4 linked regions of the Drosophila melanogaster genome follow. The protein of the gene in region 1 interacts with the protein of each later gene in a pairwise test. Each region holds a gene or a part of one and is shown on either strand. Other genes may lie near its edges. The genes, in order: CG12679, CG17666, Dpm3 and CG4676.

What was found.
Region 2: the proteins of CG12679 (region 1) and CG17666 interact in a two-hybrid assay, tested with the Drosophila melanogaster proteins (one large-scale study listed by BioGRID).
Region 3: the proteins of CG12679 (region 1) and Dpm3 interact in a two-hybrid assay, tested with the Drosophila melanogaster proteins (one large-scale study listed by BioGRID).
Region 4: the proteins of CG12679 (region 1) and CG4676 interact in a two-hybrid assay, tested with the Drosophila melanogaster proteins (one large-scale study listed by BioGRID).

Annotation. Positions count from the first base shown.
Region 1 is NC_004354.4:20,375,253-20,378,201, reverse strand, and holds CG12679 (uncharacterized protein), read left to right. Parts: upstream 1-1,679; 5' UTR 1,680-1,809; coding exon 1,810-2,382; 3' UTR 2,383-2,438; downstream 2,439-2,949.
Region 2 is NT_037436.4:12,779,446-12,784,940, reverse strand, and holds CG17666 (uncharacterized protein), read right to left. Parts: upstream 3,617-5,495; 5' UTR 3,480-3,616; coding exon 3,424-3,479; intron 3,367-3,423; coding exon 1,672-3,366; intron 1,638-1,671; exon of another isoform or gene 1,554-1,637; coding exon 1,251-1,553; intron 1,197-1,250; coding exon 632-1,196; 3' UTR 564-631; downstream 1-563. Other genes in the region: CG10969 (uncharacterized protein), read left to right, coding at 3,920-5,495.
Region 3 is NT_033777.3:13,402,012-13,404,817, forward strand, and holds Dpm3 (Dolichyl-phosphate mannosyltransferase subunit 3), read right to left. Parts: upstream 1,041-2,806; 5' UTR 978-1,040; coding exon 828-977; intron 760-827; coding exon 625-759; 3' UTR 548-624; downstream 1-547. Other genes in the region: yellow-e3, read right to left, coding at 1,437-1,924, 1,990-2,383, 2,448-2,795.
Region 4 is NT_033778.4:13,234,062-13,237,566, forward strand, and holds CG4676 (uncharacterized protein), read left to right. Parts: upstream 1-1,918; 5' UTR 1,919-1,953; coding exon 1,954-2,194; intron 2,195-2,246; coding exon 2,247-2,860; 3' UTR 2,861-2,994; downstream 2,995-3,505. Other genes in the region: Qsox1 (quiescin sulfhydryl oxidase 1), read right to left, coding at 1-836; CG4679 (uncharacterized protein), read right to left, coding at 3,253-3,505.

The sequences.
Region 1 (2,949 bases):
AAAACTTCACCAAATTTTTAAATCCGGCTCCGGTTACTGCAGAAAACGGCCGACAATCTTGGACAACCCATTGGGTGCATTTTTCAATAGCTACTTTCTTGTCGTTTTCCGAAACAATTTTTAATTCCGTTGGTCGTCTTAATGTTAGACAACATTTATGGCGGGATAAATTGGAGGTGTTTTTGTGTAAAAATTTGAGCACTTTCTGGCATTGCCTGCAGAACAGCCATCCGTCCAGAACAGTTTCATCTTCCTTTAAAATGTCACATAAAATGCTCCAAATAACACTTTTTCCTTTATGTTTATTGGCAACTGAGTATGTTCCATTGTTAATTTTATTTTTAACGAAATCAGCCGCTTCTGCCATTATTGTGACCTTTTCCTTTGGCTTCCAAATAATACTGAATCCTAACAAGCTAGTAATTGCATCGTAAAAAACAAAAAAGGGGCAATTAACAGCCGAGACACTGGACCAAAGACACAAGAACTCAACAATCATTATGTATGGCGCCATTTGACTCGACTACCTACGAGACCACTCGAGTATTTTTGGAAACACCCGAGTATTTTTGGAAACACCCATGTGTTTAACGGTATACCCACAAGTGTTTTTCTCACTCATCCCTTTTTAGGCACTGTGTGAGCGGCACCCGCGACGCAAAACACCGTATTGATTCGGGTGCGCACACAACGGGGTGTCTTGTCTGCATGTTCAGATTTATACTGTGTGTTTGTAAGTACCCGCGATGTGCGTGGCGAGTAGCACCCGCACACAAAATTGTAGGGTGTGAGTCGAGTGGTAAAAAAGTGCCACCCTTGCAGTTCTCTGACTGGAAAACCATGAAAATGTCCTTGCCAGCTAAATGCCACTCTCTCTCACACACACACAACCACACACACACGTCCAATGCAGTGCGGGAAATTTCTTGGTATAAACTTAATAATGCATCGGGGCAAATAAAGGAAAAAAGCAAAAGAAACAACGGCAAGTCGGAAAGCCAACATAAGTTTTGGGGCTAACTTGTTATTTTTGTAATTGGCACTTTGCAGTTTTATTGAAGCGTTGGAGCCCCGAAAAGGGCGCTCGGGATTTTGGGGGTTACCACTCCCGTCCTTTGTGCGGATCAAAATCCAGATTGGTTATTTATATACTGCGTTCGTTCAGGTGTTGTGATCGATGTTCTGATGCTGCCTCCCTAACCACTCAGCCGGGAGTGACTCAGTGACCCTGCCGACATCCATCCCTGGTCGTAATCTGAGGTGGCCAACGTTAGCCACTTTGGCGATGAGCAGCCTTTGTCCCCTTGGCATACTGGCTGCACTGGCTTGGTTATTGGTTATATTTGGTTCAGGAACTTCGGGATTTGAAGTGGGTTTGGATTAGACAACGAATGATTGCAACGAAGGAAGGGTATGCAAGCATACTTCATAATGAGGATTGTTAGTCCTTGTAGCCATTTTAATTCTCATGTTGTATGTCGTAAAAGGTAAAAGGTATAAGTATTTGAATAAGAACGAGAACCCGATACATTTGTGTATTGCTTATGATATGGCCATTTTAAATCTCAAAACATTTATCTAGCAAAACTGAGTTGATAAATCGATTAAACAGAGTTGGCCTGGACTCGGTCTTCAATGTTCTGCCAGTGGGAGTCATTTGGATTCAGTCATTCCAGACCCCAGTCTCAAGGTAGCAACTTTCAAAATTTTTAGTTCCTGTGTTCGTAACAAATAAGTGAAATCGCATATCGTGATACCAGACTGACAGAATCGATAGAATTCTCGAAGGAACGAAGAGAAGCGCCGAAAATGCATGTGGTGGGGGCACTGGTCAATCTGCTGCTGATCTTGGCCTGCATTTACACGATGACCTCACTGACCCCGGCGGACCATCCGTATGCCTTCCTGGCGGCATCCTTCAGCCTGGTCCACGGAGTGCTGGGCGTGGTTCGCTCCTTTGCCAACGAGCCCGACGAGTGCGGACGCACCTTTATGATCTCAGCCATCATACTGGAGGTTATCCCGCTGCCACTGGCGAACATCGAGTTCTACCTGGTATCCGATCAGTCGGGAGTGGCGCTGGTGCACGGCCTGTCGTTGATTCCACTGTTCTACGACATGATCGGCAAGATCAGCGAGGACTGGGACAGCTCCACGGAGACGCTGATGGACCTCGCTCTGTTGGGCAACATCGGCTCCACGTTGTATCTGGCCATCAAGGACGGCAACCATATCTACTTCGGTGTGGCTGCCACCGCGCTCCTCGCCAGATACGGCGGTGCAATTGTCGATAGCTGCAACGAGGGCCTTAGCAACGTTGTAGAGACTCTGGGAAACACCGGCATCCTGGCCCTTATGACCTACGCACTCACTGAGGGCTAATTGCTAAAACTTAAATTTGATCGGTTCGCGAAATAAAGCCAAGATGATGAATCAGCATTTGAAATTGGTTGAGCCAACTATCATTGAATACAAGGCACTAGGGATTTGTAGTTTGGGGATATGAATTACAAATCTACAATGAGAAAGGAATAAGCAATATAGCACTACTATATAAGCCATAAACCATGTCAAGGGTATACAGACTTCGGTGTGCTGCGGCTAACTAGCCTCACTCACTCGCGCGACTTCAAATTGCCAACTTAGTTGTTATTTGTTCGCTGTCTGGCTGAAGGGGCAGCGCGAAAAAGACGCGGTTCAAGGGCCGAAGGACGACGGACGACGGACGAGGGACGAAGGACTGGGGTCTCAGGACGAGGGACTCAGGAGGGCAGAGAAGGAAAGGGACGGGGCAATATTCGTGGACGCAGCACTGTGATGGCTCTCACGTCACCACTTCAGCAAATTGCGGCAATAATGCAACAAAGGTTTCTTGGGAAACACATACCAAATTGCATAAGCAAGGCAAGGCAAGGCAAGGCCACGGAAGCGGGGTGGTGTGGCCCGCTT
Region 2 (5,495 bases), on another chromosome or scaffold:
ATATGTTTACATATATGTACAACACGAAAGCTAACCAAGCAAACCACATTACATAACGTAAAGGGCAATATGCAAGCCAAACTCAGTTTAAATCTATGTTTAAAGGAGGAAGCGGGAGAACCCAGATCCATATATCATGTGCTAGAATTTCTCCGTAGTTTTAATGCCTATTTTCTTATTTAACAATCTAATATTCCCCTATTATTATATTATAAACATACCATACAATATTGATGGCTGCACTACACAAACATGTTTACAATGTGCTATGTTCATAGTTTTTAGTTAGGTCTTTTCTAAAACAACTTTAAAGATGTATTTAATTTTATGACAAGAAATTTATATTTTAAAGAAACTTTTTAAGTTTTTCTACAAGCAAAGCCCACAAAACTTTCGAAAAAATCTATATATGTATATGGTATACAAAAGAGAGAAACACATAAAAGAGTGTATAAAATGAAAAAGAAACAAAATACCGATTTGAACTAATAAAAAGTACTAAGGAAAATCGTAGAAATATGCCTGTTTTTAAATTATAAACAATTAAAAAGGAAGAGAAAAGTGCATTCCAAAATGTTCTTTATTTTGAGATAGGCTTGTGTGAAAATGTAAAAAATATTCAACGTTTAATTTAGACATGGTGCACGCGGCCGATGTTGAAAGGAGGACCTTGGTTATTCCGTTGATAGTTCCGATGACTATCCACACAGCCAGCCTTCCACCGCCCACTGTATGGAGAGCTGAAGTGTGGCGAGGCAGTCGGAGAATAGCCCGGCATGGTTGAAACCTCTTGCCTTGGGCATTTCCAGGGTGCAAACGTAGAAGGCGGAGCACAGCTTCCCAAACTCACAGCCGTGCCGCCGGAATTTCGCGTGCTATTGGACGATCTGTCTTGCCTTTCCTTTTGCTTCGGCTTCGGAGGAATCTTCTCCAGCTGAGCAGCAGGGGAGTTGCTGCAACAGCAACCGCACGGACTGCAGCAGTAATTGCAGCAATTACGACAGCCATTGCAGCAATTCGCGCAGTAGTAGTAACAGCCGGTGCAGGGATTATAGTACCAGGACCAAGGACATTGGTTCGAGCAGGGCATGCAGCAGGTATTTACTGGAGCTGGAGCATGATTGCAGGGTACTGGTGGAGGATTCGAGGGTGCTGGTGGAGGATTCGAGGGTGCTGGTGGAGGATCTTCGTTTTCCCTGCGAAACGCATTAATTACTCCTTGATGGAAGTGGACAGAAGTGGGTACTCACTCAGGCAAATTGGCAGAGCAGCCGCAGGTGCGCATTTCTTTTGTCGGAGGCGTTGGACATGGTTTCTTGCAGTTACACGGGCAGTGGGCATCCTCGTCTTCTGGTGTTTCCTGTGGTGATGCTACGGTACCTTCTATTTCGTTGCTGCTGTGCTCGCTCATCTTGTTCTTGACTTTTGAGCCATTCGATTTCTTATTCTTCTTGGCAGACGGTTTCGCTTGCTTTTTGCTCTTGTCCTTGTCCTTCGGCATCAGGAGGTGACACCACTTCTGCAGGTCACACGGAGGACAGGACTCGGTGAGGCTGCAATGGATACGGAAGACATTACTTCGTGTTCGATTAAAGATGTGTGCCGAATGGTGGATTGAGTAAGCCTAATTCGAGAGCTGTAATAGCTCACGAACTCTGACATTAAACTCACCGGCTGAGAAGCTCAAGGCAATTCTTTTCCTGCGTCTTCTTTTTTCCAGAGTTCACATTTTCTTCCGGTGGACAATCAGATTCTTCGGAAACGTAATGAGGATAGTATTGATTGTTGGGATCGAACCGAGTGCAGCAGCATTTAGTGGATTTCTCCTTCGATGGTTTAAAGCTTGATGGAACTTTATTCGAATTTTTATCCTTTTTGGGTCCTGCCTTCGATAAGTTTGGTGCACTTGCTGCTTGCGTTCTATTCACGTCATGTCCTGGCTGAGCATAAAAAGGATTATGGTCTTGGACAAATGTGGCATTAAGTGGAGCGCATTCATTGTACGGATAATACTGATTGGATGGATCAATGCCCATGCCCACCCTCTGCTGGTCATAAAGTACGGGTTGTCGATTGGTAGGTGCTCCTACAGATTTATTACGATTTCTTGAATCGTACGATCTGTTGTTATCACGAGAACGCACTTCACCAGCGGATGCCATTGACTTGGGCGCGGACCTATGATCTACATTTCTATCTCCACCACTATTAGAATGATAATTGGTTGTGGCTCTACTGGCTTGTGGTTTTCCGGAACGACCTTCCCTCGACTCATTTCGGTGACTGAGCGACTTGGACCTCTGAGCACCTGGACTAGCATGAACATTTTCAGGAAAATTATTATTGGCATAAGCTCTGCCTGATCGATCTCCCCTAGATGGGCTTCGTTGATTTGGAGATTTAGATCTGTTGTTACCATGAGGCAGTTGCCCCTTTGATGACTCCAATTGGGGAACTGGCCTTGAATGTGTGGCTTGACTCTGCTGGTTATAGACTTCAGATCTGTTAGCACCAACATGAACTTGATTCGTTGATTGGGGAACAGTATAGCTATAATTCTGATTGTTGGGCTCACAGTTCATTGGTTGATTATTTCGGCCATAAGCTGGTGCACTTCCTCCTGAGGTAGGAGTGACTGGCATTTGATTTATTGGACGTTGTTGGAATGTTGCATCGAATGGAATATACTGACTATTGGGGGCACAGCTCATGCCTAAACCCTGTATAAATTGATTATAGGAAGGTACTTGCGCCGTTCCTTGTGGCCTTCCAGGTGGCATTTGGCGATCTCCGCATTGGTAGACTTCTCCGGTACAGGGATTAAACTTATTTGTGTACTGTGTGGGTAGACCTGCCGCTGGAATAGATCTTGGATCACCCTGACCTACCGAGGATGGTGGAGCCACTGGTAGAACTATGGGACCAGGTACACCAAAGCCTCCATATTGAGTCGGTGGCGGGATACCAAAAATCATTGGATTTCCTGTCGGTCCGTAAGTTCCATAACACGGAATAATAGTCGGTTGTCCCGGTTGGAAGCCAAAGCCTGTTCCGTAGGCTCCAGTTCTAGCTAGATCGTCTTGCGCGCAATCTTCAGGATTCTTGCATCCATTCTTACCATCTTGACATGGATTCTCACAACTCTCCGCACATGCATCCATGTTTAAACACGGATCCTTACAATTGTCCCCACAGGCTGAGCAACTTTTCGATCGTTTCCTTTTCTTTGGGCGCTCTGGCGTCTTTAGAAGAAAACTGGGCGGCACCATGTCCGAAAACTTTTGGAACTCCCCAGAAAACACGACGCGACAATTCCTCATATTAGAGGAACAAGATCGCTCACAGCAACTTGGTCGAGGACAGCACCTGCGGATGAGTATAAATGCAATTGGGTTGAGACACTAACTATATTCTTATACTTACCAGCCATTGCCATGGCAGCTTATGCACCTCCTTAAATATCGACATGGATCGCACATTTTCAACTCCTGGTTCTGTTTAAAAGTCCACCTTCACTCATGGTCAATTACGAAGAGTACACAAACATAACATCGGTAGTCAAAATCATAAAAAAGTAGAAGTAAATGGTACAATTTATATTTTTGATGTCCTAAACTAAGACTATATTGTTAAAATCATTGCATGATCAGTTGTGATAAAACAACGTTTTGAAAGTGGTGCTACCATCTTCATATATGTGTTCTTTACAGATTATAATATGATATGAATATAAGAGAAACCTTGTAAACAAAAAGACTTCCTTGGTTTATTTAACTTACTATTTATGTCGACCAAAACTCTCTTTTTAGTTTTGGTCAAAAAAATGACATTACAAAATTCTTTGTCACGCCAAAAAACAAATTTAAACGGAAGCATTGTATAACTGAGACAAAAAATTGTATTTGGGAAAAAAGAAGAAATGCCCAATGACGGAGTCAAGTCAACCAGGCCCAGTCCCTATTGGCGTCATGCGAGTCCTCCTCCGAGGAGGAACATAGCATCGGAGCAATACAGCAATCGAGTCGGACAGCAGCTGGTGCGAGCCCTGGCTCAGAGCTTACCGTCTGGACAGGAAGCCGTGCGTTCCCGATCATCCTGCCCACCAACACCTCGTCGTCGCCGGCAGGCAAGTGTCTGCAGATCGATGGGAAGTCCAGAGTTTGTGCCATTGATGTCGCACAGTAAGCCCAAGGCATCGGTTCGATTGAAGGCGGGTATGCCGGTGAAACCAGTGTTGGGAGGAGATCCACCCAATTCAAAGACTCCTGGTCAGTCTATGATGGCCTCAGCCAAACGTCGCAATGAATCCCCCACAGTGAAGGCAAAAAGCAGGGAAGAAGAGTTCAATAAGATACCAGAGCTGGTTAGTGAGGCATCCGTCGCCAAGGCCAGAGAAAAAGAGTTCGAAAAGATACCTTCCGGAGTTCCGAGTTTGACCGAAGAAAACAAGCAAACAGAAGTGAAAGACACAAATAATTCAATCCCGGAAACGCATGAGAACTTGAAACCGGAAACGAAAACCAATTTTATAATAGAGGAAGAAAAGCCCACAGAATGTATACCAGAAACGGAACCGAAGCCATCGAACTCGAAGATAATTCCCTGCTTTCGAGGAGAGTATCCCACACGACATCGTCCTGGTACTTGCCAATGGTTTCAATCCGACGTCCCCAATTGCGGAAATATCGTGACCATATGCGATGAGGAACACCAAATTATGGGTGAAGCGGAAATAGTCACCGCTTGCCAGGTTACCGAAGCACATTTCCTCAGCCTCGATTGTGAAAATGATAACATGAACAACGAACCGCCATCGATTTCGAGGTGCAATAAGTGCACGGGTTGTCCGCAGCAACAGAATGGTAATTGGTTTGGACAGCAACGATCTTGTCCTCAGCAGCAACAACCTTGCTTTCAACAGCAACAACCGTGCTTTCAACAGAAACCATCTTGCTTGCAGCAGAAACCATCTTGCTTGCAGCAGAAACCATCTTGCTTGCAGCAGCAACCATCTTGCTTCCAGCAACAGCAACGAAATTGTGGACGAAATCCACCCTGTCCCAATGTGAAACCAAAAGGATGTCTCAAGTGTCAGGAGCAGCAGCAGTCTGGCAAAGCATTTGCATACAATTTGCAGCAGTCGATGCAGCAGCAAGTTCTGCCGCAGATGCAGAATGTGTATCCTTGTCAGCAGCTTCAGCAAGTGAATACCTGTGATCAAATGGAACAACAAATGCAACAGCAAGGCATTGAGGAGAACAACTATGGCCTGACCGAAATGCTGGCCGAGGAGCTAAGAAAGCAAATGCTCGAGGCTCAGGCGCAGATTGCACAAGTGCAACTGCAGTTGAATAGCGCGTGTGGAGCCACAAGAGTGCGACAGATGCATGTGCTGTCCCAAAATGCCACTGACGTCCCACGTTGGGCGCCAGAAACTCAGTTTATTGATGTACTGGCAGAGGAACACGACGTGGGAGATGCCCAACCAGATGAAA
Region 3 (2,806 bases), on another chromosome or scaffold:
TCAAACTATTGTCCGCCATTAAAAAAAAAATTACACAAATTAACTTCAAATGGCTATTAATCGGTTTATATTGGATCTTTTGAGTATCACAACATTCAGCTTCGCAATTATAACTCCTTCCAGTATTTTGCAGAAGAGAAAATTAAAGTTTTGAAACAGTATATTTTTTTCTCTTTCGCATTGTAATTAAGAGAATTTTAAAAAAATTGATTTATTGGAAATAGATAGCCAAAGCATGGATTTGCAATATATGGTTCGCACTTACGAGTTTTCCATATACCATGTTCATTAAGTAAAAATATGTTTTCCGTAAAGAATATTATTAATCTCTTTAAACGTATTTTACCTCATATACTTTTTTAGTTTTCTTATATTTTTTATTTTGAGTAATTCACAGGGGAGCTAAGCCAATTAAACATAAACATATTCCATACTTTTTCAAGCATATCCTTTCAAAACCTCAACATAATTTGGCCACCAAACTTCCGACACCTGGGGAAATCAGCCCCCAACAACGCGTCCGCCCACACAAAATGCGGTCTAGAGTAAATTTGCGTAATTTTTGTTTTTATAAATAATGGAATTACAGATTAACATGCACAAGTCCTACGAGCTGGAAGTCTCCTAATCTCGAAACCGAAATCCCTTGGCTATCAAATCCTTGCGAGCCTCCTGAATTTCATCCTGCAGCTCCTTGGCGGCCTCGGGACAATCGTTAAAAGTCAGAGTTCTATATAGAACAGTCCAAACGGAATATATCTGTGGGTAATATATAGTAGTAGTCAATAAGAGGTGTTATCTGCATTGATTCATATCCAAAAACTCACTCCAAAAATCACGAGGAGCAAAAGTGGTAAAAGCTGAATGTGCAGGAAATACTTGGTAGTTAGTGGCGTTTGCACTGTTCCCAAAACAACGGAGAGATAGGGAATCGCAAAGAGCGATGCGTAAAATAGCCAGCGTTGTAGATTTGTCATAGCTAACGAAATTTATTGGTAAACAAAACTAAACCGAAAATAAAGTTCTACACGTAAACATAGAGCTGGAACTTAAGCCGATGGTCACCCGGTAATTCGATATCGATATTTACCGGCTACTATCGATAGGAGGTTTACCTATTCAAATCTAGTTAGAGGTTTTCCTATTCATGTCTAGTTGGAGATTTTCTAATTAGTAATTCGTAGCCTGACGGCTTCCAGTTAGACATTGTTTACTTTTCTAATTGGCTAACTTAAGTGTGACCAAGCCCTAAGCACGTGCCATAGCACAAAGCTATCCACAGTCAGCAAATCAAATGCCATACTACTCAGCTAAACACAGTCAGCAATTTATCGATAGATCAAAGTTGCGCCATAACAGCCAGCCTTCTACAGCCAGCAATTTAAATCAGAGTAATCGATTGACGCAGTTTCAAACTTGTTAAAACTAAGTTTTAATTAAACGTTGGTGGGCGTGGTTTCTGCGGCGCCCACTGTACACGGCGTGTTGGCAAGCAGGTCAGCGGTTCGGCAGCCAATTATTTGGAACTTGACCTCGTTCGCGGGCAAGTCGCCGCCAACAAAGAGTTTCGGCTGGCTGCTCAAGGCCCACAGCTCCTCCTCTCCCTTGGAATTCCTGTTGATCTTGAGGCCCGTGACGAACTTGATCTTGTGCGGATTGTAGGCCACCACACGCAGGTCATCCGCCGTGTAGTTGGACACGGACTCCTCCCATTTCACCAGCGCCCCTAAACTGATGAGGCTGCAGTAGAGATTCCCCGACTGATCCATCACCTCCGATTCGCACTGGATTCCTCGGGTGCCCAGGCTGTGGAAGCTATCCCTGCTGGCATTCGCAGACTTCCAGAAGGTCTCGTTGTTGATCAGGGAGAGCGGAACCCTCATCTCATTAAAGGAGTTCAGCGTGTGAAAGTACAGAAAGCGGTCTGTAAATTTGCATTGGAAATTATAAATAATTTTTGAGTATTTAGAATTTAAATTGAATAGCTACCTTCCACTTCGCTGGGACTGAGGCTCACTGTAAATATTCCCGCCTGCGAGTTGCTGGAGCGTCCTAATCTCAGCAAGGGCGACGGCTTCATGGACTCATGCTCTATGCGCCAGGATCGTCCCGTCAGGGAGTCAAACACGATTAGACCATAACCCCAGGCATCGGCTATATACGCTCTGCCGCCAACACATCGGTTGGGTGTGCCCCTCTCGGCCAGATCCACCACCAAAGCCGTGAAGATGGATACGCTGGGAATGTAGGAATCGGGCGGAAGTGCGTGTCGTTGGACTAGTTCGTCCTTCACCAAATCAAATGTGAGAATTTGTGGCGGGCACAACTGCAGGGAGTTTACCTGCCCTGAATCCACCACCCAGAGTCGCCAGCACTCGTCGATCTGGGAGAAAACGATAAATATTCATGAAATATCTTCTGTTGGGAAAATATGCTTTATTACTTACATAAGTCCTAATGGCTGAGGTGATGCCGGAGCAATTGTTGGGTGGCACGTGCCACTCCTCGTTGGGATACGGTTCCAGTCTGGGATTCTCCACCAGCTCATTGTGCTCCGCAATGACGGTGGCCAGTGTGAAGGGTGTGGCCATCCCCAGTCGCGGAATCGTGAGAAAGGTGCGATGCCTGCCCTCATCGCCGTACTCAATGTCCACATCCACCGGCAGAAAGCGATTGCCCTTGGACAGATCGTCGCCCAAACTGAGGTTCGTCCACTGATGCAGGGTGTGCAGCTCCTTGAGGACCAATGCCTGGCCCTGGACTGCACAAAATAATGCGAGCAGGACGACCAACATGGCTATCAAAT
Region 4 (3,505 bases), on another chromosome or scaffold:
CACAGCTTCTTGGCATACGATTCACCATTGGTAGATTCCGGCGCGTACGCCGTAATTTCACCTTTGCGATCCACCAAGCTGAGGGGCAGATTGGTCGGATCAATCTTGAATTTGGCGGCCACGGCTGGATCGATGACGCGCCGGACCCTCACCGCTGGCCACTGGGTCATGAACAGAGCCACCTCGACGCCTAGAGTGGTGTTCTCCGGTTCGTGAACCACTGCCACGTACTCCGTGGCGCTGCTGAGACCTTCGAACAAACTGCTGGCTGAATCGTTCTCCGTTAAGTAGTGAAAGTTTGGCCAGTAGGAATTGTTGTGGCTGCTGGTCAGGTTCTCTGCGGCCACCATACCCGCTAGTATTTCGCGGATTTCGTTTTTATCCTGCGTATGCAGGCTCTGCCCGTAATGCTGAGGACCCGGCTGGAAACCGGGGCCCAGATAACGTAGCGTTGGATAGCCCATCACCTCGTAGTTGCGGCAGATGCCATTGTTCTCCTCGGCGGCGCAATCGATGGCCGCCACGATGAGCACCTCGGACCAGGGCAACAGGTGCTCCGCTACCGACTTGTACGTGGGTGCGAATCTGCGACAGTGGCCGCAGTAAGTGTTGTAGAACTCGACTAATGCTCCGCGATTCTGGTCCAGGACGGTAGCATTGAAGTTGTCGACCGACAGGCGGATAACCTTATCCCCGTCGTCGTAGAGACCCAGTGTGGGATCCGATGGAGGGGACTGCTGCTTGAGGAGCGCCTCGTATCGCGGAAGGGGAACGCCCGCGGATGCGATGTCCACCAGCAGAGCGACGGCCAGAATCACCAGGTGCGTCGCCGACATTTTGCGGATCTACCCAATTTGCGGGATCGGTTGCGGCTGCGATTCGTACGGAATGCGATGTGGAACGCGACTGCTCTGCTGCGATAAGATTTAACTTCACCGAAGCATTTGGAATGTTTTACGGTCGCAAGTGGTTTGATTAACTGCTGCCAGGGATGCCAAATCGTCTGCTTTCTAGCTACGATTCTTCAGCTATTTTCAAAACTCGCGAAGCGAAACGATGTTAAACGTTTTTCGTGCCATATAATTTGTGCATTTTTAAATTACTTTGCCTATTAATTTGTTTTATTGTCAGTAAAAGTCATTTGGTATATATGTATAAACTACTAGCTACACGAATTCATTTTTACTGCGAACTAGTTCGCTCCCAAAATTTTAAAACCTAAAAAAGAAAAAAATTATTAAAGTAATATAAAAAGAACAGTGCACCTAGGCTAGGCAATGTTTTATACCTGCTTGCACTCTACATCAAGGAAATGATTATTTTTCACAATTTAAAACTTTACATTGTTTAGTTAAACATATTCTTTTATTTTATTGTCTCGTTCGTCATATGGTTTTCGATAATCCGCAAAAAAAAACCCCAACCTATTATGCACACGTATATATTAATTGAATCGCCTTTAAAAGTTCCAAGAAAAAAAACAAAGCAAAGTTTCATCGAAGCGCTATGCCTTATCAATTTTGTATGGTTTTTGTTTTTGTAATTTCACAGTAGAAATCCCCATTATAAAGTCGTTCTTTAATTTCAAATAAAATTTTATTTTTAATTTCAAGTTTTTATGTAATAATATAAAGCAAACTTAAGAACTTAAGCTTATAACATTTGTATTCCTTTAATATACCATCGTTTATGACATTTGATTTATTCGTATTAAGTTACTTATTATTACCTTATATATTTATATTTCTTTAAATTAAATCATTTGTGTTCTTTAAAAACCGGATTGCTTCTGTTAAATTCAATCTTATTTAACATTTTACGGGTTTCCTAACGTAAAGAGTTGTGTTCTAACCGTTTCACCATACTCGACTTAACAGTCTTACCGTTAGCAGCAGAGCCAAAAATCGCTTTGCAGCACTGTCTCAGTTGGGGGGTACAAAAAATAACGGGAGCATGATGATTTTGCGCTCGTGGGATCGCGTTAAACCTCGTTCCATTTCGGATTTCGCATGTTTCCTCCTGGTGGCTGTCTTTGTGCCCGTGACATACATCTTCCATGTGACCATTGTTATGCCGGAACTGTTTGCCATCGGAGGGATTTGGTACACGTTATTATGGTTGGCCAGCCTGTTCCTCATCTTCAACATCACATCCAACATGCTGGCCTGCATGCTTGTGGACACTAGTATCCGCAGTGGGTAGCAAGCAGTGATTTTGTGGTATCCCTTCTAAGATTGTCTTTATAGAGGAGCTGCTGAAGCCACCGTTGGATGCGGCGCAGCTGGCACGGTGGCACTCTTGCCAGGATTGTCAGACATTGGTGCCACCTCGATCCTGGCACTGCGAAGTGTGCAACGTGTGCGTGCTGAAGCGGGACCACCACTGTCGGTTCACTTGCTGCTGCATCGGGCATCACAACTACAGGTACTTCTTCTACTACCTGGTTTACATGATCATCGGATCCTTGGCGGCCGCCATCATGGAGAGCATCTATCTGTGGCATCTCCATCTGGACATCTACTGGCGCTGGTCTACGCTGTTCACCATATTTGCTCCCGTGGTTAGCCTGATGCTGTCTCCAAGCTGGGAGTCCTTCTACTTGGTCATATATGATCTCACCCTTCTGGGCTTCGCCATATCATCCTTGCTCCTTGTCTTCCACTGGTCGATATTCAAGAGCGGTTCGGTGACACGAGAGCGCGGCACAAGAAAGTACGATCGCGGTTTGCGGGGTAACCTGGAGATGGTTCTGGGCAAGAGAATGCATCTCACCTGGCTGTCGCCGTTTCTACGCAGCGATCTGCCACACGACGGAATGAACTGGGAACCCATAGCCGCCTTTTCTCCAAAGGAGGAATAGATCTGAATTGTGTCTTACCCATTCTTGACATTCATTAGAGGCATTTACTTATATCTACTTCATAACAAAATCAGTATTGTTTATTTTAAGACTCACTAGTCAACATCTGAATTGGAAATAGTATCCAAATTTATACGTCTTACTATTCTCTACTTGACCAATGGAAATTAATTTTTAATGTTTACAAGTCACACATTTGATCAGCTTACAAGTTAAAATAGTACAAAGCCTTTTATTAACATAAAGCTTTACAAAATATTTAGAATACTGTGTATTCATTCAGTAATGTCTATTATATGTATTAAATTAATCTGTTTAATGAAACCAAACAAGTATTTATTAAATGGTTATTTATTTAACAGCGTTCATTATATAATTTACAAAAGACTCTACTACTTATCGAGGAAACTTTCGCCTACGAGCGATTTCAGCTTAGACAGGTGTGTTTCATTTAGGGTAAATCCTTCATGAATACGTTTGGCTAACTCCCTGGAATCAAAGTTGTTCTCAACGGCATATTGCAGGGCAAACAGCGCCTGGCTGGGTGACTTCTCCTGCACACTTGCGTCCACAAATTCTATCAGAGCATTTAGGCTTGGTGTTCCGGGAATTCTGTGCTGGTTCTTGTCAATGTGGGCGAAGACT